4 linked regions of the Drosophila melanogaster genome follow. Changing the gene in region 3 together with the main gene of any one other region gives a genetic interaction. Each region holds a gene or a part of one and is shown on either strand. Other genes may lie near its edges. The genes, in order: mbc, drpr, Ced-12 and Sos.

Region 1 (6,636 bases), on a different chromosome or scaffold from region 3:
CAATTTCCGAGAGCAATCGAAGATTGCAGTTGGTCAATTAGCATAGAAGGGAAACCAAAGATGCGACAATCTTCGACATTGGCAATCTTCGAAACGGGGTGGAATGAATAGTTGCGACTTGGAATGGGGGAAGCGATTGAGTTTCCATTTTGATTGCGAAATGGAAAGTGGAGATTCGCTTGCCAAGGGGGAGTGTATTCTGATAGTGGAGGGTTCCTGGGGTGACGATCCAACTGAAATCAGAATCACAAGTGGATGTGCGAGTCACTTGGGCGGTTGCTCAACTATCCGAAGTTGATGGAGGATGGTGCATGTGTACATGTGTGAGGGTAAAGTCCGGGGATGAGTGTTCCCCGATCTGAGTCAGCAGAGCAAACAATTATGCAGCCGCCCCGAAGGAAGGGCATCTGCCACGTGATAAGACGAATCGGGGGACTCTTATTCGGTTAAGCAACATTATCTTCAAAATTACAAAAGGCAGAGACATTAAAGATGGCAGCCGATTACAGGGTTAGTTGCTAAGTTCTATATTTTGTTTATAAGTAACACAGTTACAAAATCCTTGACTTTTTGAATCTAGTAGATACAATTTAATGGTAACCCAACTTTATTAGGTTAGAAATATGAGCAGATCTTTTTTCGGCTCGCTTCCAAATCTGATTAAGTTTTCACTTGTTGTGTGTGGAAATGGACTAGGAAAAATGCTTTCCTTTGAAATTATGCAAATCAAAAGGCGTTTCATGCATCTTAAACTCTAACGGAGTGGAAAATTTTAATTAAATTGAGAAAAGCCAGACTCTGAAATCAGAAACCAAATCAACTAGGCCCCCTTCTATTCCATACCAACCCATCCCATCCCCTCTGTATATATATTCTTTCGGCATGGGTTTCCACTACACTTTTCACTACTCTCAGGCATCATTAAGTTTTACGTTTACTTTGTGAGCTCTTCCCTCCATTTGATGTTGTTGTATTTATTATTACCGCGGTTGTTGTTTTTGCTATTCAAATTTAAATGTAGAATGCATCTGCGTGGAGTGGGTAAATAAAACCGAGTGTCTGGGTGGAAATGGGGAGCCCTGCAGGTGCACACCAACTAGAGGCAATGAACAGTGGAGTAGTGCAGCAATGAAGTGAAGATGTCACCGCAGGCAAACTTTCAAAAGCATATGCGGCACAGTGGGGCAATTAGAATAACTAAGTGGACGTTTTGGATTAAAACAATTATTACTAAGCTGATCAAATTATGCTAGTTTATACTAGTTACCTAAATATATGGTTTTGTTAATTGTAAATTTGAAAAGCCTTTTTGATGGAAGTTAATTAGCTTTTATGAGTAAACATCCCTTCATTTTGTGGCTATTCGCTTGGTTTACTTTTATATATATTTCAGGTAAATTTCAGGAATCATCCCACTGTGCATGGAGGTGAGTGAGCAGGGAGATGCAGCATTCTCATCCAAAGGAGTGAGTGGGAACAGCATACGAAAAATATGTATGTATGCACCAGATCTTTTATATGCGAGTGACTACCGCTATGCAGGAGGCCGAGGACTTAACTTTAACTCGCTCACTCACTCGCACTTCAACGGAATTCAATTCAGCTGAGTGCCACCCACAAGCACAGGCACACATCGATAAACGATAACTCGAATGGGGCCCATAAAGTGATAAAGCGATTACTCAATGGCTATTGCCTTCGAGAAACTACAATATTTCGAAAATAATACGCAAAATGGATGAGCTGCCAAGCAAATCTTTTGGCTTAAAAAATTTTTACAAAATGTGGGGCAACCGGCTGTTTGCTTAGAATTTGAAAATTGAAGCAAACAAAAGGTATGCAAACAGAATGGAAAACAGCGATAAGACAAGAATACATCAAACTGCTATTGATAAGGAGTTTCTTTTGAATTTCGTATATGCTGTAAGTCGTTTTCGCATTACAAAGGCCAAATTCGCTACTCAATGCCAACGACTAACTTATCTGCCGCCCCATATTCCAAATATTATCGCGCTTAATTACATTATACCACCAACCACCGCTCACCACCCACTACCCCCGTCCACCTGGCCACGCCCCAATGGTACTATCAGATACTCGTACTCGCAGCGATTTCGACAGCTAGTAAACGCGCAAACACAAAAAAGGGCAGAGGCAGAGGCAAACGTGTGTAAATAACAAGTGCAAACACACCGGCAAGCTCCATTCGAGTGTTAACGAACGAGATTCCCAGTTCCACTCGATCTACCTGGGACTAGAGGTACCTGTACTTTATGTACCTGTCGTATCTATTGATCAGCGGTGAAAAGGTCAACAAAACGAGATCCATAAAAAATTCACACGCATTCGAAGCGGGTCGCGATTAGATATTTCATGGTCACTGCCATTGAATTGGGATTTGTCTCACAGTGTACACAGAAAATAAACATTTCTACTGTCAGCTTGATGCAGCTTGCCTTGGGTTTACAAAGACCAGGTTTCAAATCCCACACCCGTAAATACGTAAAAGTTGTAGTACTAATGTTGTAGTACTTCAGATTTAAGTTTATGTAAAATTACATTAATTGTATAAAATTTCTTTATGTGTACCAGGCCTTTTTTCTGGCAGTGTGTTGCAGTTGCACGTGAGAGACAGAGACAGTATGAAAAGCGAGAGAGACAATAGAAAACAGGTTTTAGTTTCAAGAGCAAATCTCAGAATTTTATGCTAGTGTTGACTGAGCAGGATGAAATGAAATGAAAAACGAAACAACACAGTGAGAGCGGGAAAGGGAGGATCAACAGCAGCCGAGTGAGCGTGTGCAAGCGAGAAGGTGCAACAAGTTTTACCGTAGCAACGCAGCAGGAGGCACACACATGCGGTGAAATAAGAGAGAGAGTTAGAGAGAGAGGTGGGGGTGGAGATGAGGTGTGCTCTGGAAAAGAGCGCCCAACAGTTCATAAAGTTTTCCTTTATTGTTGTTTACAAAGCACTTTGTTTAAACATTCCTGCCTAGCCATATTCTACCTAATTTATCGGCTTAATAGCCGCATTGCCAACTTACCAATGCCGAATTCTGCCTGCTTGGCATTGCAGTCGCTCCACACACTCATCTTGAAGGCTTTTCTTCTCGTTGTTGTTGCTTCTACTAGTGTTGTTGCTGATATTGTTGTTTTTGCGCCGACTTTTACCACCAACACGGCGACAAACGATCGCTACTCACACATGCAAAGCGATGGACTTTCGTTTGCGAAAATAAAAACAACAAGACATTAAATTAGGCAACGGCAAAAGAGCAACACGTAGTTGAAATTTTGATTTCGTTTTCACAATGCCGCCAACACAAGCATTTCGCCTCCGATTTCGCTACAGATTTCGACGAAAAGCACACCGGTTGGACAATTGCAACCAATAAATAATTATTGCACAAAAGCTAGCATTCCGCACAAATTGTCGCTCCGCAAATGCATTTTGCGCCGTTTTTCGCTCGTTTTGTTCTCGACTTGTATTTGGGCTGGGAGTTGGCCGCTGCCGCTCAGCTAATTATCACATGTACACGCACTCGATCGCACACACACTCGTGTGTGACAGTTGCCAATTAATTAAATAACCGCTCTCGGAAAACAACCCGCGCGTTTCAACTGTTTGTTGTGAATGAGCGTGCTCGATGCCCAGAAGTACCGTACTGTTCCCAATCGAAAATATCAAATATAGAGTGCCCCTTACAGCGTGTTCACACCGTTGATGTCAAATGGGTTTTCACTTTGTTCGCAGTACGGTCACATAAAAATGTGAAAATCGAGCTTACCTACAAAATACGAGAAACCCAAGTTATAAAATACATTTTCCACACATTCATAGTAAATTTGCTTCGGAGGCACCAAGCAAAAATTTTATTAAGACCATAAATAAGTTATGGTCAATAGTTATGCGCCTGGCAGTTGTATCCTGCTTTTTTACAGTGTATTTTTGCATGCGATTTCACGCCTTGGTCACACTTTTGGCTGCATTTTCTTCAACATCGTGAAAAAATCGGCGCGCCATTTCTGTCCACTTTTTGCGTCAGACTCGGTCGACTCCTGCTGACTTGACAAATTCGCGAGTGTTTATTTGTTTTAAGCTAAGCCTGTCCGGTCCCACAACCTTCGCATCCGGCGCAGCCGCCCCAGCTTGCCCAACGTGGTGAAATCGAAGCATTGCTCATCGCGATAGTTGGCATTCCGGCGAAGGACAAAGCAGGGGATCTACCTAGTATATGTTTGTTATCTGAGCAGCAGCAGCGAGCAAAATGTTTGGCGGCGCGAAACCCAGCTTCGGAGCCACTCCGGCGGCCACCAGCTTTGGCGGATTCAGCGGCACCACAACAACCACTCCGTTTGGCCAGTCGGCATTTGGCAAACCCGCCGCACCGGCCTTTGGAAACACCTCCACCTTTGCCGCCCAACCCGCGCAGCAGTCACTGTTCGGTGCGGCAGCCACACCAGCTCAGCCCGCCGGAGGCTTATTCGGGGCAAACACGTCCACGGGATTTGGAAGCACTGCCACAGCTCAGCCCACGGCTTTTGGAGGTTAGACACGATCATTTGAAGTGGTATCATGTTACTAATTTAGTAATTTCTTCTTTGCAGCCTTCTCGCAGCCGCAACAGACCTCGAACATATTTGGATCCACCCAGACGGCGGCAAGCACCTCCCTCTTTGGACAATCGACGCTACCCGCCTTTGGAGCCGCCAAGCCGACTATGACGGCCTTTGGGCAAACAGCTGCTGCTCAGCCCACGGGCTCTTTGTTTGGCCAACCGGCTGCCGCCACCAGTACAACAGGATTCGGAGGCTTTGGGACGTCGGCGCCTACAACCACCAATGTTTTTGGCAGTGGCACCGCCTCCGCCTTTGCCCAACCTCAGGCTACGGCCGTGGGAGCTTCCGGAGTCAATACGGGCACGGCCGTGGCCAAGTACCAGCCAACCATTGGTACAGATACCCTGATGAAGAGCGGTCAGGCAAATAGTGTGAACACTAAGCAGCACTGCATCACGGCTATGAAGGAGTTCGAGGGCAAATCTCTGGAGGAGCTCCGCCTGGAAGACTATATGTGCGGGCGCAAGGGTCCACAGGCTGGGAATGCTCCGGGAGCTTTTGGATTTGGAGCTCAGGTTACTCAGCCCGCTCAGCCTGCAAGTGGTGGCCTGTTTGGAAGCACTGCCCAACCAAGCACAGGTCTGTTTGGCCAAACTGTGACCGAGAATAAGAGCATGTTTGGCACCACCGCTTTTGGCCAACAACCGGCGACTAACAATGCATTCGGAGCAGCAACCCAGCAAAACAACTTTCTGCAAAAGCCCTTTGGAGCCACCACCACCACTCCGTTTGCCGCTCCCGCAGCTGACGCTTCAAATCCATTTGGGGCGAAGCCTGCTTTTGGACAGGGAGGAAGCCTCTTTGGTCAGGCACCTGCTACCAGTGCGGCTCCTGCTTTCGGACAGACTAACACAGGATTCGGAGGCTTTGGAACCACAGCCGGAGCAACGCAACAGTCAACTCTTTTTGGTGCCACACCAGCCGCCGATCCAAATAAATCAGCCTTTGGGTTGGGAACGGCTGCATCAGCAGCCACGACAGGTTTTGGATTTGGAGCTCCAGCAACAAGCACCGCCGGCGGAGGCCTTTTCGGAAACAAGCCCGCCACTAGCTTTGCTGCTCCAACTTTCGGCGCAACCTCCACGGCTAGCACTCCGTTTTCAAATTTTGGCCTGAACACCAGTACAGCAGCAACGGGAGGAGGCCTTTTTAACTCGGGATTGAACAAGCCAGCAACGTCCGGATTCGGAGGTTTTGGAGCCACCAGCGCAGCACCACTTAATTTCAACGCAGGCAACACGGGCGGATCACTTTTCGGAAATACAGCCAAGCCGGGAGGAGGTCTTTTTGGAGGAGGTACTACAACCTTGGGTGGCACGGGTGCTGCCCCAACGGGAGGACTGTTTGGAGGAGGAACTACCAGTTTCGGAGGTGTCGGTGGTTCCTTGGGCGGAGGAGGCTTCGGTATGGGTACAAACAACTCGTTAACTGGTGGTATTATGGGAGCTCAGCCCACACTGGGTATCATGACGCCTTCACACCAGCCCATTCATCAGCAGATCCTAGCTAGGGTAACTTCTCCCTACGGAGACTCTCCGATTTTCAAGGATCTAAAGCTAAGCAGTGAAGCAGATGCAACAAGAGCTACAAATCCTGCTGCCCAACAAGCAGTTCTGGACCTGACCAGCAACCAGTACAAGATAAGTACCAGCAACAATCCTGCTCCAATGAAGGTAAAGGCGCTGGGCAGCACACTTAATAGAAAATCGCTGTTTGATGGTCTCGAGGAGTTTGATGCTTCTGTAGAGGGCTTCAATCTGAAGCCCAGTGCTAAACGATTAGTTATCAAACCCAAAGTAAAAAGTGTAGAGGGTGGAAATCCCTCTAGCTCTATTGGCAGTGCTCCCAACACGCCCCAATCTCGACCCAAAGGCGCAACTCCCAACAAAGAACGCGAGTCGTTTAGCGGAGCCATTCCAAGTGAGCCGCTACCACCAGCTGGAAACTCGCCTGGAGCAACGAATGGACGGGAAAGTCAGGATAACGGCCGCCGTGAGTCATGGCTGCATCCTAACA
Region 2 (6,773 bases), on a different chromosome or scaffold from region 3:
TGCTAAATCTTTCATTTTAACGATTAGCAGAGTCCACGTTTTTCAAACAAAGTATAAACCTTTGGAATCAAAAATATTAACCATAAACTAGGGTGTTACTCTAACCCATTGCCATTAAGTTTCATTTTGCCACTCAATCTTCCCTTCCGCATATGTAGATCATATTAAAATGCGAACTTGCACGAGACAACGAGCTTACATTTGCAATTTACTTATTTGTTTACATGCCTGATTGGTGTTTTAATGAGCTAAATGAATATGTCGTGGATGAGTCACCTTAGGTTAAACAATGCTAGACTATAGTCTATAAACTATACGGATCTGTTAGTTGTATGTATAATAGGCGAGTGTGCGAGATTTTTCAATGGAAAACGTGTTCGGCACAGTTTGTTTTATCGAGTATCGAATCCATGCACCATTCATCGATACCGCATACCCAGCATCTGTTCCAATGCTGAGTCACTCGGATTTCATTCACAAAAGTCTGGCTAAGGCTCGAACTTCGGGTCAATCTACCGCTCAATTCGCAGGTTTGTATTTCAGACCTTTCCCAATATGTGTGTACTTTTGGCACACCTCATATTTATCATACCTCGCCCTTATCTGCGCCCAGTATTGGACAAGCAGAAACAACACGATGAGGCACACTGATAGTGGTTCTTAATCGGAAGGGGTCAACGAAAAGTTGAGGGAGAACCATAAAATGTTAGCAAAGGTAATAGAAGATTGATTAGAAGTAAGTTGCGAGTCCGTTTCCGCTGGCAATCTGTCTATAATGTATACATATGTAGGTACTTATATATGACTAATTTCCTGATTTTCGATGAAAGCTTTCGAAAGAAAAAAACAAAACAAAAACAAACCAAAGAAAATCTGCGAAATACTTTCGGACTAAGGAGAAAGCTTTGTTGTTAAAAAAACTCAATGGCATTCGTCTATTTCATTCAATTAGAATGATATGTATTTTATAAAGTATAAGCATTGCCTATTTTCGTTCCAATTAAACCTCCATCAGAGCTAAGAGTAGGTCTTATATTCTTCAAGTTGTGTGTATATATTTTGTGATGTATTTTCAATTGATTCAGCACAGTGCATATGTAAACATCTGGATTTGACTTGGATTACTATAATCTTAAGCATAGGGGGAAAATGAGCCAGCTATTCCCCCAACTTCAAGTACTGCGCACTTGATAAAGGCTAAACAAAGATTGTCGCTTCCCGCTTTATATAAACAGAATTATTCTACAAAGGAGGAGCCCTCACTTGAGCTGTACTTTGGATAGCGAAATCAAAGTCGAGTTTACTGAATCCACAATACACATCTCCAATAACCGCAACGCATATGTTTGGCGTTCAGTGGGCAATTTAACGCCTTGGCGAGGCGACAAAGCACATTTGGCAAAAACGATTATTAAGAATAATAAACGATTTCAATGGCAAGAAATAGATTTGGTATAAAAACAAGTTGTTCTGGCCCAGGAAATGAAATTATTGAAAGAATATCAGTTTGCACGAGGTCTAGGGTCTTACATTTGTGAACTACGTAAATGCTAGGCCAATCAAAACTTTCAGTGAACAGTTTAATTAAAGCAAAGAGGCAAAGGGTTCTCAAACGTTATTATTTTGGGATGGATGTTAGCTGCCATTATGAAGTATCAGTGAGAAACAGTGATTTCAGCTGTTTCGTATTCATTTCACAAGTGAGCCAAACACTCAACACCTCAGTTTGTATTGGCCAATTAGCGGGCGAAGCTCGGATTTCTAGCCCGAATTTGGATAGAGCTAGAAGCTTTCTCGATTGATTCAGCGAAGAGAACCGATTTCAGCTGAAAACCAAGAAAACATGTGTATATTATTCTAGTGGAAAGGCACCCACACATTGCAATGCAGACAGACGAACAAGAATTAAGCATAATCATCAGCAAAAGCGAAATGCACTTGCAACAATACGGAGAAAGCAAAGAAAAATGTTGGATAATGCAAACCCAAAGCGAAAAGATAGAGAACAGAGAATGTCGTAATCATAAGGGGAAAACTAACATCCCGACTCATGGGTTGCTCTCTAACCACCGCCACATTGGACAAGAAATCCCAGGAGGTTTCATCCCAGCCACTCCCTGCCACTCCTCCACCCAGCATTATCAATAAAGCTGAGTAATCATGGCGACGACAAAGCCCGGCTCCATAAAGGAACCTAAACAGACATTGTGACATGTACGGCATGGTATGATATGATATGATACCGAGGGTGGGGAGAGTGCACCTCTGAGTGCCATTTCAGTTTTTAATTTTGCAATGGCTTGTGGGACTTTTCGCTGTGCATTGCATTTCGAAGCTCGTGTCCTAAGCAGGCGTCATTGTTCATTAAATCACGTATGATAATAAAAATCAAGTTCCATTGCCAGTGTCAGAAATATAAGGTTAAGCTTAAAATCGCTTGGTTAAGGAAACTGTGTGAAAAATAAAAATGCTTTGTATGGGAAATATGATCGCAGTTTATTCCATACTTATTTAATGAATTCTATAAAAAATAAGAACGGTTTCTACATATATCTTAATTTGTGTGCACCCCCATATTCAGAAGTAATATGAAATATCGCTGAACTGATACCTTAATCAGTACTCATAAAGAATTAAACGCAAAAAAATTTTTTGCGACTTGATCTAAATTATAAACGGCTATTATTGTTATTTATTTTCGTGACGATGCATCGACTGTATTTTAATGTGTGCGTTAGTTAGGCAATTTCGATGTGTGTGAGTTTATGCTGGCTGGGTTTTCATTTGATCCGTTGGCGTTGTTGTTGTTGCGGCTGTGACAGCTGGAAGCTTCAGCAGCAATCTGGAAACTGGAAAGAATCCACAAGATGCGGGTTTCCAGGGAGCGAGGTGCTGGTCGCAGGGGGTCGATGAAAGAGAAGTTTGCCGATTTGCTGCCAATTCCCCGAATGACAGATATAAAGATACATGCATGAGATACAAAGAAGAAGAAGTCGACGAAAGCGCAAAACTAAAGCCAAAGAAAGGCCATTAAATTGTGCGAAAGAGAAACCAGAACAGGTTTAACTGTTCTTGGTGTGCGCCCGATAAAAGCGCTAATTGACACGCACACAAGTGCACTACTGCGGTCATAAACAAACCGCTCGTTGGGAAAGAAGAAAGGTGGAAGGGAAAGAGAGCTGACAAAGCTAACCAGGCGAAATTGCACATTTAACAGAAGAAAACTTATTTTTAACAACATAACAATGACTAAAATTAACGTTAAACTGCCACGATTGGGGTTAAAACTCACCTTGGCAAGAAGCACGGTGTAAACTGGTTTTCGGTTCTCACTCAAAACAAACCAAGAATGCACTCGCAATCGAATTCCACTCAATTTACACGTTTACGAAACTTTGGCCATTAAAACCTCGAGAGGATTTGTATTTTTAAATGCTTACAGCACCTTACCACATATATATATAGCTATATATATAAATTTGCTATTGTTTTTACTTTCTCACCATCCACAAAAACTTGTTTTCGTTGTCGCTACTCTCTATTTTGGCACTCTACTCGCAACTGAGCTGATTTAGCAATTAAAATGCAACCTCTTTAAATAAAAACAATTACTTTTCGTGCACTCCACTAACGACAACAATAAGGACAAACGGGCGCGACGCACAACAACGCAATTCTTTAATGCACTTAAGTATTTTCGTCGGTCAATTGGAGCTCGTTTGGTTTTCGCAAGCACCGCAATTACTATTTACTTTATTTTATATTTGCGTACGCACACCACCGCACGAAGCAGAAATTTATTTAACTTATTTAAAATTCAGCAAGAAACGGACAACCGACTTACTTAGCTGCACTCGCCAGTGTGACCGCTTTGCGAGTGTTGGATGAGCTAGTAGTGTGGCCCTAGCGCACTCCCCAGGAAATACTCACTGTGAACAGTCACTCTTTCCACTTATAACACTTTTCACTTGAAAATAAATTTGAATTCTATCTTAAAACTACATTGTTTATTTGCGGAGTAGATACGCCTGTACCACCTGGGATAAGCAGAATGAAAAACAGCTGGAGTAATTAAAACACTAGTCCCCGCTCATTTCAGATCTCCACCGTCATGGACACGATCAAACTGTGGCACAGTGGGCAAGTTCGGTGCCTGGAGATCTCGGTGGGAGCTGCGCAGTGGTGGCAGGTGGTACAGATCCATATGTTGTTCGTCGGCTGGGTGATGGGTTTCCCGGAGGAGATGCACGCCGGGAAGCGAGCATTGCACTCGGGGCAGGAGGGGGAGCTGAAAGGATCGGCATTCCATGAGTATCATCATTATAATCCAGCTTCTGACGTCGACCCTTCACTTACCTATCTGGCACGGGCACTCCGCAGGAATAGCAATCCACCCTATCGCCAGTGGTGTCCTCCGGATCGTACTTGGCGAAGATCCCAGCCGCCAACTCCTCGTACCGTTGAAGGGTAGCCTCGGGAAGATGAGCCTGTTGCTCCAACTTCATGAAAGCCTTGGAGCAGGTTCCGAAGGCCCGATCCGCACAGCTGGCCAGTGCCAACAGGCTGTAGATGTGCTCTGGAGGCAGGACGTCCTCGTAGTCGCGCAGCCTCACCGCAGTGACCACCGCACTGTGGACGATCCCGAAGCGAAGCTGCCTCTGGGCTAGGAGCATGAAGTGGTAGGCCTCGGCGCAGTGCCAAAGCCTCTCGATGGCGGCCGCATCCTCCAGGGCAATGGAGTCCAGTAGGGTGTTCCTGCCGCTGGCGTAGTCGATCTCCGTCGTGGCCACAGCCTTGAGGTGCTCCTCGGCCAGCAGAGCAGCCAGCACGTACAGCTTCTTGATTCTCAGCAGCGGAGCACGCTTCTCTTGCTCCCGTTCCGCCATTTGAGAAAGCAGGCGAGCTGCATCTAGATGACGCCCAGCATTCCGCTGCATCTCGATGGCTTCCTTGAGGCGTCCCTCCTGGAGCAACTGTGCCGCGTGCTTGGCTATGAGCGTTTGCACCTGGGGCAGCTGGAACCTCTGGGCCAGCTCAACAGCCTCGCCCCACTGCCGGAGATTAACGCAGGTGGCGACGGCGGCCTTCTGGTCGCCGAATCGAAGATGGGCTTGAACAGCCTCGGAGCACATGCCCACGGAGGCCAGCATCTCGGCCAGCTTCGGAAGCAGCGGGCTCTTCTCCGGTAGCCGTTCCACGCACTTTTCCAAGTCGTCGAACTGCTCCAAGTGGTACAGAGCCTCCATGTAACCCTCCAGGTAGTGGGACTTCTCGTAGTATTCCCTGGCACTCTCCCAGGAGCGCAGGTTGGCGAAGTGGTGGCCAATCTCCCGCCAAGCGATCTCCATCTGCTGGTCCGACACTCCCGATCCTCCCATTCTGTACAGCTGCACCACGCGAAACCAATCGCAAAGGGTCATGCGCAGCTCTATGGCCAGATCGCGACGATCCGCGTCCAGGTAGAGCTTCTCCGCCTCCTCGAACTCTCCGTAGAAGGCTGATATCTCCGCCCTCTGCAGCTCCTTGGAGTGTATGGTGCGCAGTCTCTTGACCAACTTAATGCCCGGGTAGTGGGCACAACGGACAAAGGCGTTCTCCGCCGTCTCCAGTTCCAGTTTCTTCAACGCAGACTCCGCCAGCAGTCGCCAGAGCCTCGGATGCGGGTTGTCCTCAATGAACTGCTTGGCATCCTCCAGTCCCACGTGCTCCAGTAGATCGTCGGTATCGCGCAGGGACTTTACCCTCAGCTGAATGATATGCGAAAAATTCTGCAGCTCACCCACGCTGATTATGTCGTCCAGCAGGACACTGGTGATCTCCAAGTCCTCGAAGGTGCATATGTAGCCGGAGCAGGACACGGGCTCCTCGGGATCATTGCCCCGGAAGATATACATGCGCGTTTTCTCCATCAGAGCCAGCAGCAGTGGGTTATCCGTGGCCCAGCTCACGGCCCAAACGTCCTTGCGCTCCACCCGACTGAAGTTCAGTTGGGTCTCCCTGTTGTCGTCCAGGTCGAGCAGGGTCATCACGCCCATATGGTCGATAATGGCGGCTCGTCTAAGTAAGGAGTATAAATATTACTAGTATCAAGGGAGTGTGGTGGACTACCCACGTGGAATTGCAGTTGATAGCCATCTTGTAGACCTTGGCGTTCATCAGGTGGCGGTTCCTCAGAGCCACGTTTGCTATGCTGTACTCGTTGATAGCGCCGGATTCCCTGGCGACAAGGAGCAGCTTCTCGGAGAGTGCCAGCGCACAGATGGGATCACTGATTCCCCGCTGCGTGGAGTGACCATCGCCACTGCTACTGCTCAGCATCAGGTCCTTGGCCATTTCCACTCCCGTGGGCGTGTCGTCGATATGGAACCGCTTCTCCTTGCGCGCCTTCACATTGTGCAGGGTGGAGGCACTCTGAAGGGAGATCAATGGGGGTTAGTCAATTGGTAACCAGGTTGATGACTGAAAGTGCCCACCTTGGGTGTGTGGTAGTGCCAAATTAGAATCTCCTCCTGGGACGCTATGGCCACATAGCTCGAGTTGATGCCCACAAAGCAGGGTCTAATATCCGTGTACTTGGCTAAAAATAACTGGGATTAGTCCGAAACATCAACAACGGTGATCTACTCACAATCCACGGTGGTGCCAATTGAATTGCAGAGGAGCAACTGGTAGACCCTATCGTCCGCAGGATTACTTCGGTTCTCCAGGGTGCTCAGCGCAATCTCCTTGATGTTGCTGCTGACACACTCGACGCCCAGGACGCAATGCTCGCT
Region 3 (7,159 bases):
CTTCAAAAGACGGACAACTTTGGATCGACTCCACTGCATCTGGCTTGCCTGTCTGGTAACATGACGTGCGTTCGCCTGCTGTGCGAGAAGTCCCAGCTGGATCTGGAACCGAGGGACAAGAATGGAAAGACGCCGATCATGTTGGCACAGGCTCATCAGCACCAGGATGTGGTGCGCCTGCTGTACGGCGAGGTGAAGAAGAAGTCCCGTTGGATTCCCTCAGTCTCGGAAAGTTGGGGCTGGCTCTTTGGCGGAGCTGGAGACTCCAAGGGACCGCTGTTTCTATTTCTCTTCTCTGTGCTACTTTGGGGCTATCCCATGTACATGATCCGTGCGATTCCCATTACGTGGAACATATTGAGACGCTCGCACTATTGCTTTATATACTGGAACGCCGTAATGTGGATAAGCTGGGCCATTGCCAATCGCCGGGATCCGGGGTATATACCACTCAGTTCGGATGCCTACTACCGGGCCATCAAGCAGATTCCGTACTTCGACAAACTGAAGAAGCGAAATGTGATGCTAACCCGACTATGTCACAGCTGCAGGTGCCTCCGGCCGCTGCGAGCCAAACACTGCCGCGTGTGCAACCGGTGTGTCTCGTACTTTGACCACCACTGTCCCTTTATCTACAACTGCGTGGGACTGAGGAACAGAATGTGGTTCTTCCTGTTCGTCCTCTCGGTGGCCGTCAACTGCTCGTTCACCATCTACTTTGCCTGCTATTGCGTGATGATCGAGGGCTTCACGATGCTCTATGTGCTGGGACTCATCGAGGCGGTTGTGTTCTGCGGCTTGGGTTGGATACTCACATGCACTTCGGTAAGTGCTTCTTTTCCAAAAATATTAATCGTTTTGACATCATTTGCACTGGCAGATCCTGCACGCCTGCATGAATCTCACCACAAACGAGATGTTTAACTACAAGCGTTATCCTTACTTGCGGGACAAACGCGGACGATATCAGAATCCCTTCTCGCGTGGTCCCATCCTGAATTTACTCGAATTCTTTGTCTGCCTGCCGGACCGGGGCGATGACAACGATCTCCTGCTGGAGGATAACATTTGATTAAGGATCTAGGATCGAGCCCCTGCTCGCCGGCGCAAGCTGCCCGTGCGTGGATAATGTTGCGAGGAGGCAGCCAGAGACCCACTCGGGTAGGCTGCCAGTTTGGTTTTGCTCCGCAGGCTTACTGCTTACTCGAATGCTTTAAAGTTCGAACCAAAGGTCGTCAAGTGCGTGTTTTATCATTTACAATTGCAATCAACATATCCTTGCGGAAGGACAAATCGATAGCAAATTCCAAGTGCAATTCAGAGCATCAATAAATTACATTGCTAAGATTCCATTATTGTTAACGGCTCCAAATCAATTCCTTCCGCAATGGTGTTCAAAGCATCGGCCAGCCGTGCTTTTTGCTTTTTTTAACTAACTAATTACCTTTTAGGCTTGGATAAGAATACGCTTCTCTTGTTAGTTTTTGTACAAAATTGTTATGTATAAAATGTGTTATTTAATGATCTCTATATATTATATACCTATTATAATCATAAATGGTGTAAAGTTCACTAAATGGCTAGGCAGCGGTTAGTCACTTGGACGTGACCGTCACCAGTTTGTTCATTTTGTGTTCGGGGAATTGCACAAGTAATACTAGTAGAAGATCAGATCGGAGAATACGATTATGTTGTGTGTACACTTTGGCATGTATCTTGGGTGATGGGGGAGTCTAGAATGAATCGAATAATTCGTGAAGTAATTGTGCTCGTTATGCTTAGCTCTCAAAGCAAAAATCATAGTTTTCGGGATCCTCCGGTATTGGCGGTGGGTCCTTGCTGATGTCCACACCTTCCGTGTCCAGCAGGCGCAATTTGATCTCCATCGACAGCAGAGTGTCGAAGTCCTCGTTCTTTTGCTTGCTGACCATCGGTTGACCCAGCAGCGCGTTTATTCCATCCGTCCAGTAGTTGAATATGCTTTCGTCGGGTGCCACAAAGTCCAACGTAGAGTGCTCCATGTTTTCGAAGGTGATGGAAAAGGCCAGGTTTACCGCCGATTTCCGAATGCGAGTTTCCTTCATATGCGGGCATTCCTTGCCCTCTAGCAATTGCTTAATCTCACTGATGGGCAGTTTCTTGGGCAACTCCTCCATGGTGGGTATTGTCTTCTCGTCGCAATCTCCGTAATGAATCACCTTGTGATTCGGCGAAAGACGAGCGTACCAGAACTTGTCCTTTGTTCGAGTGCCTCGCAAGTATTTTGCAAAATGTGTACCTATAAGTGCAAGATTTATCCATGTTAAGATTGCCCTTGAAATGTATTTATTAGAAATTGTACCTTCCACCAGAAAAGAGAGCCGTTGCTGCTTGATTAGCTCAAGAATTTGCGGTGATATCTTCTCTTTGAGCTTAACAATCGCCGAAGCTGTGGAATCACACTCCTCCTTCGAAGTGCGCTCCTGCTGGCGCAGTGTTGTGATCTGCTGATAGGTCAACAAAGCGATCTTGTTTCGGAAATCGTCCAGGTTCTCGGGTCTGCCCTTTAGAGTGCGCTGGATCTGCTCCCGCACCACGCTGAAGGTTGTGCTGAAGTCCTCGGCAGTGGCACGCATATCCTTCCATGTGCGATTCAGCGTAATGACGCATATGCAAAAGAATTCCTCGAACGGCGAATCGTGCGTAAAGAACATGGGCTGAAAGTCACCGGATTGCTCGGCTGGTGGCTCGCCGATGCGAAGGATGTCACATAGCACCTTGACCAATTCGATGGAGGTGCGTCCGAAGGGACACTCGTGCTCATCCGCACGGCAGGAGTTCTCCCTGACGATCTTCGCATACTGTTGCGTGTAGTTGCGTGCAAAATACACCATGCAATCCAACGCTAATATACCTGAGAAATACGTTTCGGATTATCAACCAAAATAGCTTTAATATAAGAACATATTCTTACCCGGCGGCGTCTCAATGAAATCCTGGGCAGGGTTAATATCGCACTTGAAGCCCAGCTTTTTGTAGTACTGCGAGAAGTTGACATTGCCAGCTCCGGAGCCACCGCCACGACGGATGTGATCGTCGTTTTGATTCAAAGCGTTGGTATTATCGTCGAAGGCAATGCGCCGCAGCTCCTTGATCTTCTCGTGCGCGTCCTGGTCCTGCGCGTTCATCTTCATACGCATGCGCTTCTCCAACAGGCCGAGAGTCAACGTTTGCAGCACGTACAGCTGGTGGGTCATCTCTGTGCCCAGTCCATTGCCGATAAGGGCCAGGCGGAACTGCTTGGCACTAATAGTTTGAGCAATGGTCCTGCGGCGGCCCTCGTCTGCTTTGACGAACAGAGCGTTCAGCAGGGCTATGGCATTTTGTCGCATCACCGGCGAATTGACATCCTGAAGCAATCGGAGAATATCCTGCAGCTTGATGTCCTCGGCAACAAGCACATGTTTATTGCTGCACATAACAATGTTCTCCAAGTTGGACAGGGCGCTCTCACCACAGTTCGTAGGATATTTCTGAAAGTTTCGCACGATCTCAATGTTGCGGGCCACGAATGAGTTTTCCGGCACCTCCCAGGACACCGTGCCGTGCTCCATCAGCTCCACAAAGCTGGCCAGGCTGTATTTCAGAATGTCTTCGTTGGTCTGGCCGCCATCCTCAATCATCTTAATGAGTGTGTCGAGACCCTTCTCCTTGATGAACTCCAGGGCAAATGTGTGATCGGTGCTTAGGGAAGTGAGCTCCTTTAGACGCAGCGCCTTCTCCTGTGGACTGCCATTGAGCAGCACCTCCATGGCATCGCAGGCAGTCTTGGATGGCGAATACTGCAGCTGCAGTACGGAGCCATTCTTGATCTCATTGCGATTCTTTTCGGTCACGTACTTTCGGTTAGTGGGCTCGTAGAACTGGAGTGCATAGTTCTGGTGATCGCTGATGGACCAACCATTGCAAATTTCCTGGATTTTACCTGCAAGCGAAGGCGGCATTAATACGCTGTAAATAGCAACTTCCTGACCAATTGTATGATTTGCATATAAATGAGAAAGAGGAAATGAGTGCGCTGACATCACGATAACACTTAAACATAGCGAAGGGCGTTGGTTGGAAGTTCCTCCCTTATGATGGGTTCCTTTGCTACTTTCAACATAATTCTGGTTTATTAACTTCTTGGAACTTTGTTTTACATGTTTAAAGCAGATTCTCTTTAAAACTGCTGCTCAGCAAGCGAAAAATCTTTGTTTTTATCCGCTATTTACTCACTTGCCAGCGGATGCCTTTGATCCAGATTTATCAACTGCGCTATATGGTCCTCTCGCTCCACGGCTATTTTCACAATGTGTGAATCCTTAACCGTCGTCTTTTTTGGTATCATTTTGGCACTCTTTCAATTAGCGATAATTGCAATTATTATTGTTTTTCTGCGTAAACTTATATTCTTTTTTTTTTTAATTCAGTGCAGTGTGACCAATTGACAAGTAGTATGGAATATCACACAGCACACAACCGTTGCGTTTTGTGGCATAGGCAACACTGGGCGGGAAAATTATGTGGATTTGAAATAAATATTTTAATGATAACAGCGCAGAGTAATTTCCTAGCTAATAAATGTATTAAAGTGAAAATAAGCAAGCAAATATGTTGTATTTTGTTTTATTTTATCGTCAGCAATTTAATAAGTTCACCGACAACCTTTACATTAATACTATTTCCCAGCAGTCGATACTTTTGTCGATTCGTTGTTTCTGGCGGAAATTCAAAATTCTCCGGAAAACTCATTAGACGAGCAACTTCCCGTGGCGTGAAATAGCGCAGTCTCACCTGGTGCAACAGGTCCAAGCGTTGCTGCAAAATCTTCTCCGACTTCGATGCATCCTGATTACTTGTGTCAATTTCCTTGACCAACTCGAAGATGCGGTGGGATTCGTCCTCCGAAAGCGGTGTGTATGCAGAGCCCGTGCCCTCGGTGTAATGGGTGTAGCCCTTTGTAAAGCACATGGATCTACTTTGAGCAGGATGTATTATGTCCATGACCAGCACTCTTTTGGTCAAGACATCGTCGGGCACCAGGAAATCGGGTGATACATTTTCCTCCACAATCTCGGCAATTTGTGAAAGACCCTGATTCTGGGCTATAGCACCCGGCATTTCTTCCCAGATCTTTCCACCGGCAAATGGAAAGTCTGCACCCTTGCGGGCGATGCAATAGTAGCGATATCGAGTATTTGGCACATTGAATTGCGTTGGCGTTAGAATAAACTCCCGCCAATGGAATCCCGACCGCTCCAGCGATTCAATAAACTGATTTCGCGCCTGTGAGCTCTCGAAACCCTTGACGTTTTCCATGAGTATGTACTCCAGTTCCTGGCACTCTGGGATCAGTCCACACAGATGAGTAAGTGCATCCGATCGCTTGTCTTCCGTGTCCCTTTGCAATCCCTGGCGAGTGTGGGGCTGACATGGCGGGGACATCAGCAGCATGTTGGCCTGAAGCTTTGTGACTTCCTTTACACTCAGGCTTTGAATATTCCTAGTTTTCACCAAATTACTGCCGTAATTGTGCGCATAAACCGCATTGGCCACGGTGTTGACATCCAAGGCGGCAACTATTTGTCCATCCAATTGGGCATCTTCAAAAGTATATATTAGTTTCGCATGTATCATGATCGACGAACTCACAATTAAAGGCATAATGCATGCCGCCAATGCCACTAAATAGTTCTAAGACCCGAAATACCATTTTAATTAAATATATTTTTGTTTACAAACTACACGTTGTGAGTGGCACGTTTTCCAACACTGCCCCACACAGCAGATTGTCTGCGTTTCCGTGTGATTGGTATAAGAAGAAGAATATCAACACGTGCCGCTCGCATTTTTGTGAATTCGTGATTCTCTCGGAATAATGATAAAAATTAAGCGAAAAACAGCCCCTCCGCCCGTGGAACAGGACTCGGACAGCGATTCCAGCTTTGACGAGGAGGAGCCACAGGATTTGGAAGTCCAGGAGGGGCCAGTCACTGATAGCAGCGATGAAGAAGCCGCCTCCAGCAGCAAAAAAACGGCCAAACAAGGGGAAGCCAGTGAGGATTTAAAGGAAGAGGATGATGACGACGATGAGGAGGAGAATGACGACGACGACGAAGAAGAGGATGATGACGACGACGACGACAAGAAGACACGAATTCCTGTTTTGAATCCCCTCAGCTGGATGCGCAACAAGGAGCAGCGTTTGGCGTTGTACAAAAAAATGAAGAAGGAGAAGCACAAGAAAAAAATGCAGGAGCGCCGTGCCCGACGGAAGGCTGGTGTACCCGCCAATCCTGGTCACACCATAGAGAGCCTGCGAGAGAAGGACCAAACAGAGGTGGCCAATCTGAACGATTCCGACAACGAGGAGTTGCAAAAGGAACTCCAACTGGACGATTTCAGCTCGTACTTCGAACGTTCGTACGAGCCAAAGGTGCTGATCACTTTTGCTGACAATCCGGTGACCAAGACGCGTAAGTTTGGACTGGAGCTTTCGCGCATATTCCCCAACGCCCTGGTTAAGATTCGCAACAAGTCGTCGGTGAAGAAGATATGCAAAAGCGCCGAGCGCGAGGAGTTCACAGACGTCGTGATCGTTAACGAAGATCGCAGAAAGCCCAATGGGCTGCTGGTCATTCATCTGCCCAATGGTCCCACTGCCCACTTCAAGCTGTCCAACGTGAAGCTCACCTCGGACATAAAGCGCGATCACAAGGAGATAACCAAGCACAGGCCCGAAGTGATCCTGAACAATTTTACCACACGTTTGGGTCTGACCGTGGGCCGCATGCTGGGTGCCCTCTTCCATCACGATCCCGAGTTCCGCGGCCGCCGAGCGGTGACGTTCCACAATCAGCGAGATTACATATTCTTCCGTCACCACCGCTACGAGTTCACCAAAGAGGGAAAACGCGTAAAGCTGCGCGAACTGGGGCCGCGGTTCACCCTGAAACTACGTTCCCTGCAGGAGGGCACATTCGACAGCAAGACCGGTGACTATGCCTGGATAATCAGCAACAAACGGCACGCCATGGAGTCGCGACGTCGCTTCTTCCTCTAGGTGTATTTCGAGGCATTGTATTTAGGTATAGAACTACTTAATAAACCAACAGTTAATACGAAAATAATAGCTTGA
Region 4 (9,655 bases), 1.7 Mb from region 3:
CGAAATCTAATGGCGAATAGATATGATCGTGCTCGTCCGATGGCCTTGTCTATAGGGTATGGAGTGCATGGTGCTCTATAAATAAAGGTGCACCCCACCACCACCCCCCACAATTCAACAACGGAAATTCCCCGAGTGTCTGCTATGATGTATTGAGATGTGTTCATAGGACACAATTGGACATGAAAGATGGTCTGTCTTTCCCAGGAATTCCTTTCGGTTTATTCACCCTGGTAACCGCTGGTACTTCACCGAGGATCCAAATCGCTGCGCCATCAGGTGACACATCGCTTTTTGGGGACGGTGGCTGCTGCACACACATAACTCCCCCAAATAACTGACGATAAGGGGCTGGACACGAGCGTGAAAATACGAATATACAAATATACGAAAATAATTCAAAAAAACAACAACCGGTTCCCAGCGGCGAGCAGCCCAAAATTTCAGGAAGCATTTGTGCTCGACGTTCATGACGTTTTAGAAAAGCGAAAGTCAATCCGCGTTGTTTCCAATAAGCGAATGTGTGTGTCCAATTTAATTGCACCTAATGCAGTGAGACAACAATCGCTCTAGTTTTTCCTAACCCACCGAAACTAATTAGCCATATACACAATCTTAATAATGGCTGCGATTATGCTGGACACTGCGAGAATGTCAGGTGTGTTGCAGTCGGATGTCGGTTCACGTCGACTTCATCAAGGCCACTGGGCACATAAAGAATACCCACGATCTTTAAACGTTGGAAAAGCCTTGATAATCTATGCTATTTGCTCAGATTGCCTTGACTTTGGCTACAATACTCTATATTTCTGGTCATCGAAAGATGTCGCCAAGTGTCTAACAATAGGGTTATACTTTATTGTTTTACGTTCTACGATCAATACAATGTTCTCGATATTTACAAATATTTATAATAGTAATTATATAATAACATAATTTCTTGTTTGCATTTCTTGTTGGTTGCTTGGTTGCTTGCTTGGTTTGTGTGTCCTGCATTCCTATCCATATGCGCGTGCCTGTTGTGTGTAAATGAGAGCGTATTTTGTCTGTCTGTCTGTTCTACCTTGTTAAATGAGTGGCGAATAATCTAAATCAGCGGTTCCAACTCGTTTCATACTAGAATACATAAACTGCGCCTACGTATATATGTATATATATATATATATATCTCACGTTCCGTTCTCTCATATATATATCTGCACTCAAGCAGTGCTCGCAACTTTGAATCTTACGGATCATACTCGTAGTTTTCGTCCTTATCACATCGCCAGGCAATTTAAATTATTCTTCGTTTGTACTTGGGTAAAGAAACATCGTACCTTTATCTGCAAACGGATAGGATGGTTGGGTTAGGAAACACGTTATCACGGGCCGAGTTGGTAGCACTCACCTGGATTGTTATAGAAGTTAGCGCTTAGACTAGGTTTTGGTGGAAGTTTGGGTGTGCCCTCGAGGCTCGTGGCAATCGGAAAGAACTCCTTGGGGGACGAGCGCGACTGCGTCGGATTCGAATGGTGCTGGTGCGGATGGTGCGGCAGATGGGTGGCATGATGTTGATGGTGCTGCGAGTAGATCGCTGGATGCGTCTGCTGCTGCTGCTGCTGCCGCATTCGCAGTTGGTGGGCATAGCTGCTCGACGTGCTCTCCACCGGATGGCTGGGAATGTTGGGAGACATGGGCGACATGGCGGGTGTCAGCGGTGATGTGGTCGTCGAGGAGCTTGCCGCTGGCGAGATCGGTAGCGGCAGCGGTTCGTCCGTCGCCACTGCCTGCGACACGGTCACTAGTGTCGTGCTGATGGGTCCCGCCGCCGCCTGGTTTGGCTGGCTAGTTGCCGCTGCCCGCTTCTCGATCGCCGAGTTGCGGCGTATCATAATACTGCTGGTGTTGGGCAGGAGCAGACTGCTGTTGCCCACAAACTCCTTGCTCTTGCCGTGGCTTTGTCGCAAGTAGCTGATGCCCGTGGAATGGTTGAGCCGTGGCGGTATCGGCGGCGGACTGAGTTCGCCATCACGCGGGGGTAACTGCAAGGATACGTAAAATGATTGCTGTCATCTGCTACTACAAATTAGAAGTAAGTGAGGCTACTTACTGTGGGTGCGTCTGGCGCCTGACGCTTTTGCGCCATGTCCGCACAGCTCTCAGTGCGCTCCTTGCGTCTGGGTGGCAGTGGAGGCGGCACTGCTCGGTACTCCATATTGGTGGCCATCGGAACGTTGACATGCGGCGAGATGGGCACTGCCCCCGGCTGTCCCTGATGGGCACTGTTAAAGTAGAATCCACCCGCGCAGAATTCCTCCCCGCCCGATGTAGACATGCCTGTAAGGGTCACGGTACTGGCAGTGCTATGCGTTGGGCTGTTCTGCATGCGCCCATGGAATGGTGATCGATTGCCGGTTTCGTGACGCGGACTGACCACTAGCTTGGGCAGCGGCGACGGTGGAGCTTCCGTGTCCGATGCGAATGGATTGCTGTCCGGCAGGGACTGCGGTGGCAGATGCTCCGGCAGCGCTGGACTGAACACAACATCCATTGCCGACGCACTGGCCAGTGTCGAGTTGTTGTTAGCCCAGACATGCGCGCCCGGTTTCTTGGGGAGATGTGGCGCCGGCACCGAAACCTCCCCGTTGTTCTGGTCCGTTCGAGTGTGCTGTGGCGTTCCACTCCAGCTGCTGGTGTTCCGTTCGGGTATAATAACAGGGGCGAAAACGGAGAAAGCGTGCGGATTGTGCTGCGGACTTTGCTCGCCAGCGAGAGTTCCAGATCCAGCATTAGCTGCTGCTGCTGTTGGCGCATCCATTATGCTGGAGGCGTGCAAAGATGGCGCCGATGCCGTAGCTATTGAGGTGGCCGTTGACGATGCTGCCGCTGCCGCCGCCACGGACGACGTGCTGTTCGACAGCTTGCTACTGCTGTTGGTCTGATTCTGGCGACGCGGCTTGATGCCCGGCGATTTGAGCGGAATGTGCGGCCATTTTCGAGGCTACGAAAGGAAAATGGTTAAATTTCCTATATGACTTGTAAACTTTGAAGCATTATACTTACGAATTTCGGCACTGTCTTGCAGCCCCTTGGCTCAATGCGCAGGCTTTCGTTATAGAGATAGTCGGACATCTGTTTGTCGGACAGTCCGTTAAACGGATCCAGTTGCTCGAAGAACTGTCGTATTGTGGACTCCTCGTTGAGGCAGTATGGCTGGTTCTGGTACTGTTGAATCTCGCCAATAATCTCGGCCACTTTCCGTCGTTTGGAAAAGTTAATTAGCTCTGTGTTGGCTAGCAGGTCGGGGTTACCCTCCTCCAAGTGGAGTATGTTGGTCAAGTAGCGACCGAAAAATGGCACACAAGGCGGATTGATGGATCGCAATCGCTCCTGATACTTTTTGAGATGATCGTCGCTGAGCTCGCGGCATTCCTCCAAGAATTTTCTGTAGCGTTCGGGCAATCCCTGGAATGTCCACCGCAGTCGATAAACAGATGCCGTGCCCATAGCCGCGACAATCGAGAGGATTCCATTAAAATTGTTCAATTCCAGCATCACCATCATCACTTCGATTGCGCGTTGCATAATAGCCAGGCGTTCCTCGTAGTTCTCCGCTTCGGTGATGGATTTTTCAATCCAGCGGGTGACGTTCGTGGTGTGCTTCATTATCTTCAGTAGATTAGGGCTCTTCACCTCCTTGTCCTTTTTCGTCCAGGGTGATCCGACCAACTCAGACGGCTTTACATTCTTGTACATCTCGAATTCCAGTAGAGTGAGCTGACGGGCCAGTTCCAGTGGGTGCAGGGTGAGGAGCGTTATCTCGTCGTTGGGTACACTAAGGTGATGCTCAATGGGCGGCGGATCGTGGCCATAGGCGTATACAATCTTTTTATTGCTTTTCTCCTGCTCGTTCTGTAAATAATATTTGAAAAATGATAACGATACTTCCACATTATGCTGTTGACCAACTACTCACCTTTCTCTGAACAATCTTAAGCACGGAATCCACCCACTTGCGCATCGATTTGCCATTCACGTGCTCCAGAAAGTTCAGCAGCTTCTCCAGCAACATGGGATCCTTCTCGAAATCGTAAAAATGATGGTCGACCCAATGGCGCAGTACGTTGAGCACTCGAAACTGCACTGGCTGCACGTACTCCTTGCGATATCGTTTCCAGTCCTCGCGATGCGAGTTCTTGTGCTCCTTGTCACCGCCAACGCCGCCCATTCCACCCGCACCTGCTGTGCCCGTGTCTTGATAGACCAGGCTGGGATCCGGTATGTTAAAGCGTTCCACCAGCAGTTGCAGCAATTGCTGCGGCGAGCAGAAGTAGCGATATGTGGTGAGGAAGGTGCGCACAAAAGTCGGATCGGCGTAGATGTGATAGGTGAGGCGCTCGATTAGCTTGCAAAGCGTCGCTCCCTTGATCATCGGCACTCCTGCGCTTTCGCGCTCCTCCAACACGATATTGTCACCGCTGTCCGGCACCGCGAACTTGTAAATCTCCGGACTGGGCATCCGCAGCGGATGCTTTCGCTCGATGTCTTGCAATATGCTGTCCAAGTGCCGGTCCAGCATCGACTTGGTGATAACCATCAGCAGGTCTGCCATCCAGTCGTGCTTGTGCTGTGCATTCTTGGCGGTCAGCACAATGGGCGGCTGCATCCGGGGTGCCAACTCAAAACTGTTCTTCAGATCATCGCTGTCCGGTCGATCGTTGATATCCACGCGTCGCATGAAATACTTCTCCTTCAGTCGGTAGTCGTAGGCCGTTGCTCCTGCCGATGGTGTTTGTTTCTTGGTGTTTGCCTTGCATAGCACCATTAGCCCGTCGAAGAGGAATACCTTGCGCTCGCTCCAGATTCGTTTTCCCGATCCAAGTTTGCTCAGCGAATCCTCTGTAAATTTGAAATACCATTTTAGTTGGAGGATGCAAGTAACTTTCGTTGCCAGCACTTACCGCGAATAAATTCATTGCAATTCTGGCCCACGTCCTTGTCCTCCCAGTGCTCCACCTTCATTTGGAGCTCCCGTGTCCGCTCGATTGCCAGCTGGCGGCGCACTCGACCGCTAACCGGAACTTGTCGCTCCTTGGACAGGCTGGCCATTACCTTTTCGAGATCGCAGTGGAGTGGATGCAACAGTCCCTGTACCTGTTCGAAGCTCTCGATGTCGTCCTGCGAAGAGCTGAGATCCTTGAGATGCTTGATGTAGTCGAAATACACGAAGGCATGGCAAATGGGCACCAGAAGCAGCTTGGGCAAATAGTATTTGACCGCATCGCGGAAGCCATGGCCGGCTGTGGTCAGAGATGAGGCCTAAAAGCAGGGATTTTAGTAGAATTCTTCGCACAGAAGGTATCAATACTTACCCCTGGCTTAGACAGGAGATTGTTGAGAGCATCCCGTGAGGCCTGCGAGGTAACGTCGTAGGCGTACTTCTTGTACACATCGAACTCCTCGGCCTCGGCCAGTTCCTCAAAGCAGCTACCGACGCAGGGGGCACTCTGCTCCTGGGACATCTCGATGACGTCCTCCAGGGAGCCGAGCAGAGTGACCGTCACCTCGTAAATGTCCATTATGTTGGAGAATATCGGTTCCAGCTCGCGCGGATCGGACACGATCTTCACCAGCTCCTCACGAAAGACGCGTATGATCATGTGCAGGTCGCGTTGGTACTGCTTCTCGTCGTGGATCAGCTCCTTGACCGTCTCCTCGTAGGTGGCACTTGCACGCTGCGCGGGAAGTGACAGGGGACTGGGCAGGATGTGGGCTTCGCTCTGGTTGAGCATGTCCATTAGCACACGATCGGCGTTCATCACCACCTCGATGTCCTCCTTGGTGATCTCGCAGTGGGCGATCTTGATCACATAGTCGCCGGCCATTTTGAGTATGTCCGCTGAGATGTACTCGAGCACGGCCACCAGGAAGGCGGACACGGAGCTATCGATCTTGTACTGCAACACATCCTTCTGGAGCAGCGTGTGCACCTTTTCCGTGGGCAGGACAGACTTGCGTTTCTTCGAGTTGATCACCTCCTTGGCCTCGTTCAGGGCCCACTGATCGATGGGCGCTGGAAAGGACTTGTTCACCTTCTCCTCCACATCCTGCACGGAATGGGGCAGCGGCTTGGCGCACAGCATGGCCAGAAGCCGCAGACAGAGTTTCTCCACATACAGCAGTGCGTCCTCCTTGGCGGTAACCCGTGGATGCACTTGCTCCAGCACCTTCTTTAGCGATGGCGTAAACAAGCCCCTCCATCTCGCAGCATTCTCGCACTTGGTGAAGTCATAGCCATCGCAATCCTGCAGCCCAGCCACGCCACCGCCGCCAATGCCAATACCACCGCCTCCGCCCTGTGAGCCACTACCACTACCACCGCTGCCGCCGCCGCCTCCAGTGCCCAGACCGATCCCGCCCCCGTAGCTAATGGTGTGGGCATGGCCGCTGGGCCCCGAGAACATTCTGTGCGCCGTGGAGTAGCCGACGAGAGCCTGCCGTGGAGCACCTTCGTTGGCCGCCTGCCCTCCGCCTCCCCGCCCGCTGTGTTGTGCACTGAATCCAGCGACGAGTGGAGTGGAGCGGAACCTGGAAACTGGAAACCTGGAACCGTGGGGCACCTGGCACAGCCGGATCACCCGGGCGAACGTCGCATGGCAGTCACACACACTCAAGCGCACGCACTGAACTCGTTTCGAATCTTGAACGGGGCTCGCGCGTCCGTTTCGTTTGCAAATCGCTTGGGCTTCAGCACTTGTTTTCAGAATATGTATCTTCGATATATATATGTATAATATAATCTTCAACTCAATATAATATTTTTCGCGGTGTGACCAGAGTGCGGCACTGCCTAAATCCAGTAAATGCTCGCGACCAGCCCTGATTCGATGCTTAAGAATGTACTAAAAAATCCAATGTAGAGAGCATTCGTGTTGAATGGCTTTTTTAGCAGAAGAAGAAGCATTTTGAATTTAAATTGCAACGAGCAGGTTTAAAATATATTATAATTTACCCAAAAAAAATGAATTTAATTATCTCTTCAATGTTTATATTTCAAGAAATTTATATTTATATTTATAAAATGTCTTTCCTTATCTAAAATCGTAAGGAGATATGCAACATACATATCGACTCATCCCTTATTTTACTTGGATAATGTAAGATACATCCGCTTTCAACGCTTCTAAATCGAAAACAAGTACAATGTGTTCAGTTGAAACAATTAAACATATGAAAGCAATGCAATGCAACAGAATACAAAAACCAAAAACAGTTAGGGAGCTAGCTTCCAGAAGTCGAAGCTTCTATACCCTCGTATAATTATATATTTGAAAAACAATCCATCCAAAAACCATAACTATACGGTATATAGTATACATATACACATATATGTACACTTTTACTTTGTTGTCAAATTTTCAGTGTATAATACTTCAGGTTTCAATGTCCGCTTATAGATTGAGTTGCATCGGGAACGCGGAATGGGGACCCCATACCTCCAATCGTTCCAGCTCACTATTCAACTCGGAGGCCATCGAACAGTTGCGCGATAAGTGGACCCACTTCTTTTTTAACCTGCCAAAGGCGCCTCTCGAATTGCAGCTGGCCAAAGCCCGAGCGAATCGTGCACTCGAGCTGGTCAGGAGCAAGGAGAAGGCTGCTTTGGAACGGACCGAATCCTCGCCAAGAAGTAAGTGCCGTCCACTCACTGCTCTGCACAACTCGCCGCGTACCACGAATCGAATGAAGCTGATCATGGAGACTCGCGTGCGTCCAGCGATCGTCAAAAAGTCAAAGTCGGAGTACAATCTATGTCCCAGTTGTGGGCTTGTCAAGGACTCGATTCTCAATCACCAGCACGCCGAGCAGCGACTGAAGAAGCTACTGGCACAGCATCCCAGTTTGCTGCCAAAACGACAGCATAGAAGGTCAAACTATTTGCGTATGCTATAACTAGATAAATTGCAATTTTTCTTCCAAGAATGCCAGCCATTTGTGTCGTCAAATATATTTAGTTGTGGGTAATAAGGAGGCAGAGTGTGACTATCTTTCCAGTAGCGTGCCGCGCTGCTTCTTCTGCGGCGGAGGTGCGTCCTCTGTCTTGGTTTTGATGCCCACATCGCTCAATTTTCCGCCTTTGCGCTGCAGTTGCTTCTCGATAATCCTTGCGTTGTTCGCATAGCTGTCTGCGATCTCGCGCTGTTTGAATGAACAAAAAAAATGGTTAGTTTGAAAGAGTTGTAGGTTTGTTCGTAGATGATGCAATGATAGATTGGATTTCCTGCACCATTTACAAACCAACTTTAGCTGACAAACTTACCGCCTCGATTTCATCCTCCTCCTCGTCGATGGTAGACACCGTGACCGAGCTGAACTTGCCCATGTTCTTCGTGTGTCTGGTGACGACGACCTTCTTGCCACTGGCATCCACAATACCCGAATCGTCTGGACCGGCGGAAGTCGCTGGCTTGGCAGCCGGTGCCTTGAAACTGCCCTTGATCTCCGAATTCAGCAGCTGTGTGAGAGGACTCTCACCCTTGTTGCGGATTAGGGCATTGGACATGACGAAGGTTACGTGGGAGTCGGGACTGTGGCGATAGTAAAGCGGCAGACTGCAGCTTCGGCACTGAAGGTTAAAGGAAAACATTAGGTGAACTAATGACGGGTAAGGAGTGGAAGTCAGCTACTCACCTTGTAGCGGTACTGCTTCTCGATCCCATTGCCCCTGCTCTTGCGTTTGATGTAGACCATCCTCGGTGTGGGATTGTGGGTGAGTTTGTTGGCATGGTCGTTGGCGTTTATCACACGGGCGTTGTCCACCTCTCGTAGCGGCAACTGTTCGAGGGTGCAATCTGTAGGATAGGCAAACATGATGTACTATGCTTTCAGTTAGTTGGCTCCAGTAATCTTACCCAGAATCAGAGCCATCTTGTTGCACAGACAGTAGTAAATGTTTAGCGGCTTTTCCTCGTTGTACTCCTCCTGATCCTTGGTATCGGAGCAGACGATACTGCGCGACACTACTTTGGGCATGGTTATTTGTGGGTTTCGGACTTATGAAACTTATAAAATTAAAGTAATTTCCTATTTCATTAAACACCGCAAGTAAATAAATAAACAGTGAGACCAGAGTGTGCAAGCAAAAGGTAAACAATGCAACACGCCAATCGATATTGCTATTCGATTACCGAACTTATCGGTTCGCACATTTGCGAATATAAACAAAAATGTGTGATAACAAAAAACCGACTGTTAAGGAAATTGCGGAACTTTGTTTAAAAAAATTCGAGTCCTTGCCAAAAACAGGAAAGCCCACAGCCAATCAATGGACAATTTTGGCGGGAATCGTGGAGTTCAACCGGAACACGGAAGCATGTCAACTAGTTTCGCTTGGATGCGGAACAAAGTGCATTGGAGAATCCAAACTTTGTCCCAATGGCCTCATCCTGAATGATTCCCATGCCGAGGTGCTGGCACGTCGTGGATTTCTTCGCTTTCTATACCAGGAGCTCAAGCAGGATAGAATCTTTCATTGGAACAGCACGCTAAGTACGTACGACATGGATGAGCACGTGGAGTTCCACTTTCTGAGCACACAAACGCCTTGTGGGGATGCCTGCATCCTTGAGGAAGAGCAACCAGCGGCGCGGGCCAAACGCCAGCGGCTGGATGA

Evidence for each region.
Region 1: of Ced-12 (region 3) and mbc, changing one enhances a phenotype caused by changing the other (phenotypic enhancement), as found in Drosophila melanogaster (one study listed by BioGRID).
Region 2: of Ced-12 (region 3) and drpr, changing one enhances a phenotype caused by changing the other (phenotypic enhancement), as found in Drosophila melanogaster (one study listed by BioGRID).
Region 4: of Ced-12 (region 3) and Sos, changing one suppresses a phenotype caused by changing the other (phenotypic suppression), as found in Drosophila melanogaster (one study listed by BioGRID).

What each region holds. Positions count from the first base shown.
Region 1 is NT_033777.3:23,778,797-23,785,432, reverse strand, and holds the start of mbc (myoblast city), read right to left. Parts: upstream 3,669-6,636; 5' UTR 3,094-3,668; coding exon 3,045-3,093; intron 1-3,044. Other genes in the region: Nup98-96 (nucleoporin 98-96kD), read left to right, coding at 4,269-4,548, 4,609-6,636.
Region 2 is NT_037436.4:1,727,233-1,734,005, forward strand, and holds the start of drpr (draper), read right to left. Parts: upstream 3,876-6,773; 5' UTR 3,293-3,875; intron 1-3,292. Other genes in the region: Oseg4 (outer segment 4), read right to left, coding at 4,096-4,288, 4,357-6,057, 6,113-6,411, 6,474-6,577, 6,629-6,773. UniProt on the Drosophila melanogaster protein: Receptor which is involved in the phagocytosis of a variety of cells including apoptotic cells, severed and pruned axons, degenerating dendrites, salivary gland cells, germline cells and bacteria.
Region 3 is NT_033779.5:12,095,161-12,102,319, reverse strand, and holds Ced-12 (Ced-12), read right to left. Parts: upstream 4,483-7,159; 5' UTR 4,370-4,482; coding exon 4,258-4,369; intron 3,965-4,257; coding exon 2,954-3,964; intron 2,894-2,953; coding exon 2,342-2,893; intron 2,279-2,341; coding exon 1,779-2,278; 3' UTR 1,481-1,778; downstream 1-1,480. Other genes in the region: patsas, read left to right, coding at 1-825, 881-1,072; Mt2 (methyltransferase 2), read right to left, coding at 4,648-5,624, 5,674-5,734; CG6712 (uncharacterized protein), read left to right, coding at 5,900-7,084.
Region 4 is NT_033779.5:13,811,005-13,820,659, reverse strand, and holds Sos (Son of sevenless), read right to left. Parts: upstream 6,845-9,655; 5' UTR 6,447-6,844; coding exon 5,355-6,446; intron 5,302-5,354; coding exon 4,944-5,301; intron 4,882-4,943; coding exon 3,959-4,881; intron 3,895-3,958; coding exon 3,046-3,894; intron 2,984-3,045; coding exon 2,093-2,983; intron 2,025-2,092; coding exon 1,391-2,024; intron 1,326-1,390; coding exon 1,282-1,325; 3' UTR 836-1,281; downstream 1-835. Other genes in the region: CG16888 (uncharacterized protein), read left to right, coding at 7,426-7,935; CG16865 (uncharacterized protein), read right to left, coding at 8,026-8,181, 8,303-8,608, 8,674-8,834, 8,895-9,015; Adat1 (adenosine deaminase, tRNA-specific 1), read left to right, coding at 9,210-9,655. UniProt on the Drosophila melanogaster protein: Promotes the exchange of Ras-bound GDP by GTP. Functions in signaling pathways initiated by the sevenless and epidermal growth factor receptor tyrosine kinases; implies a role for the ras pathway in neuronal development.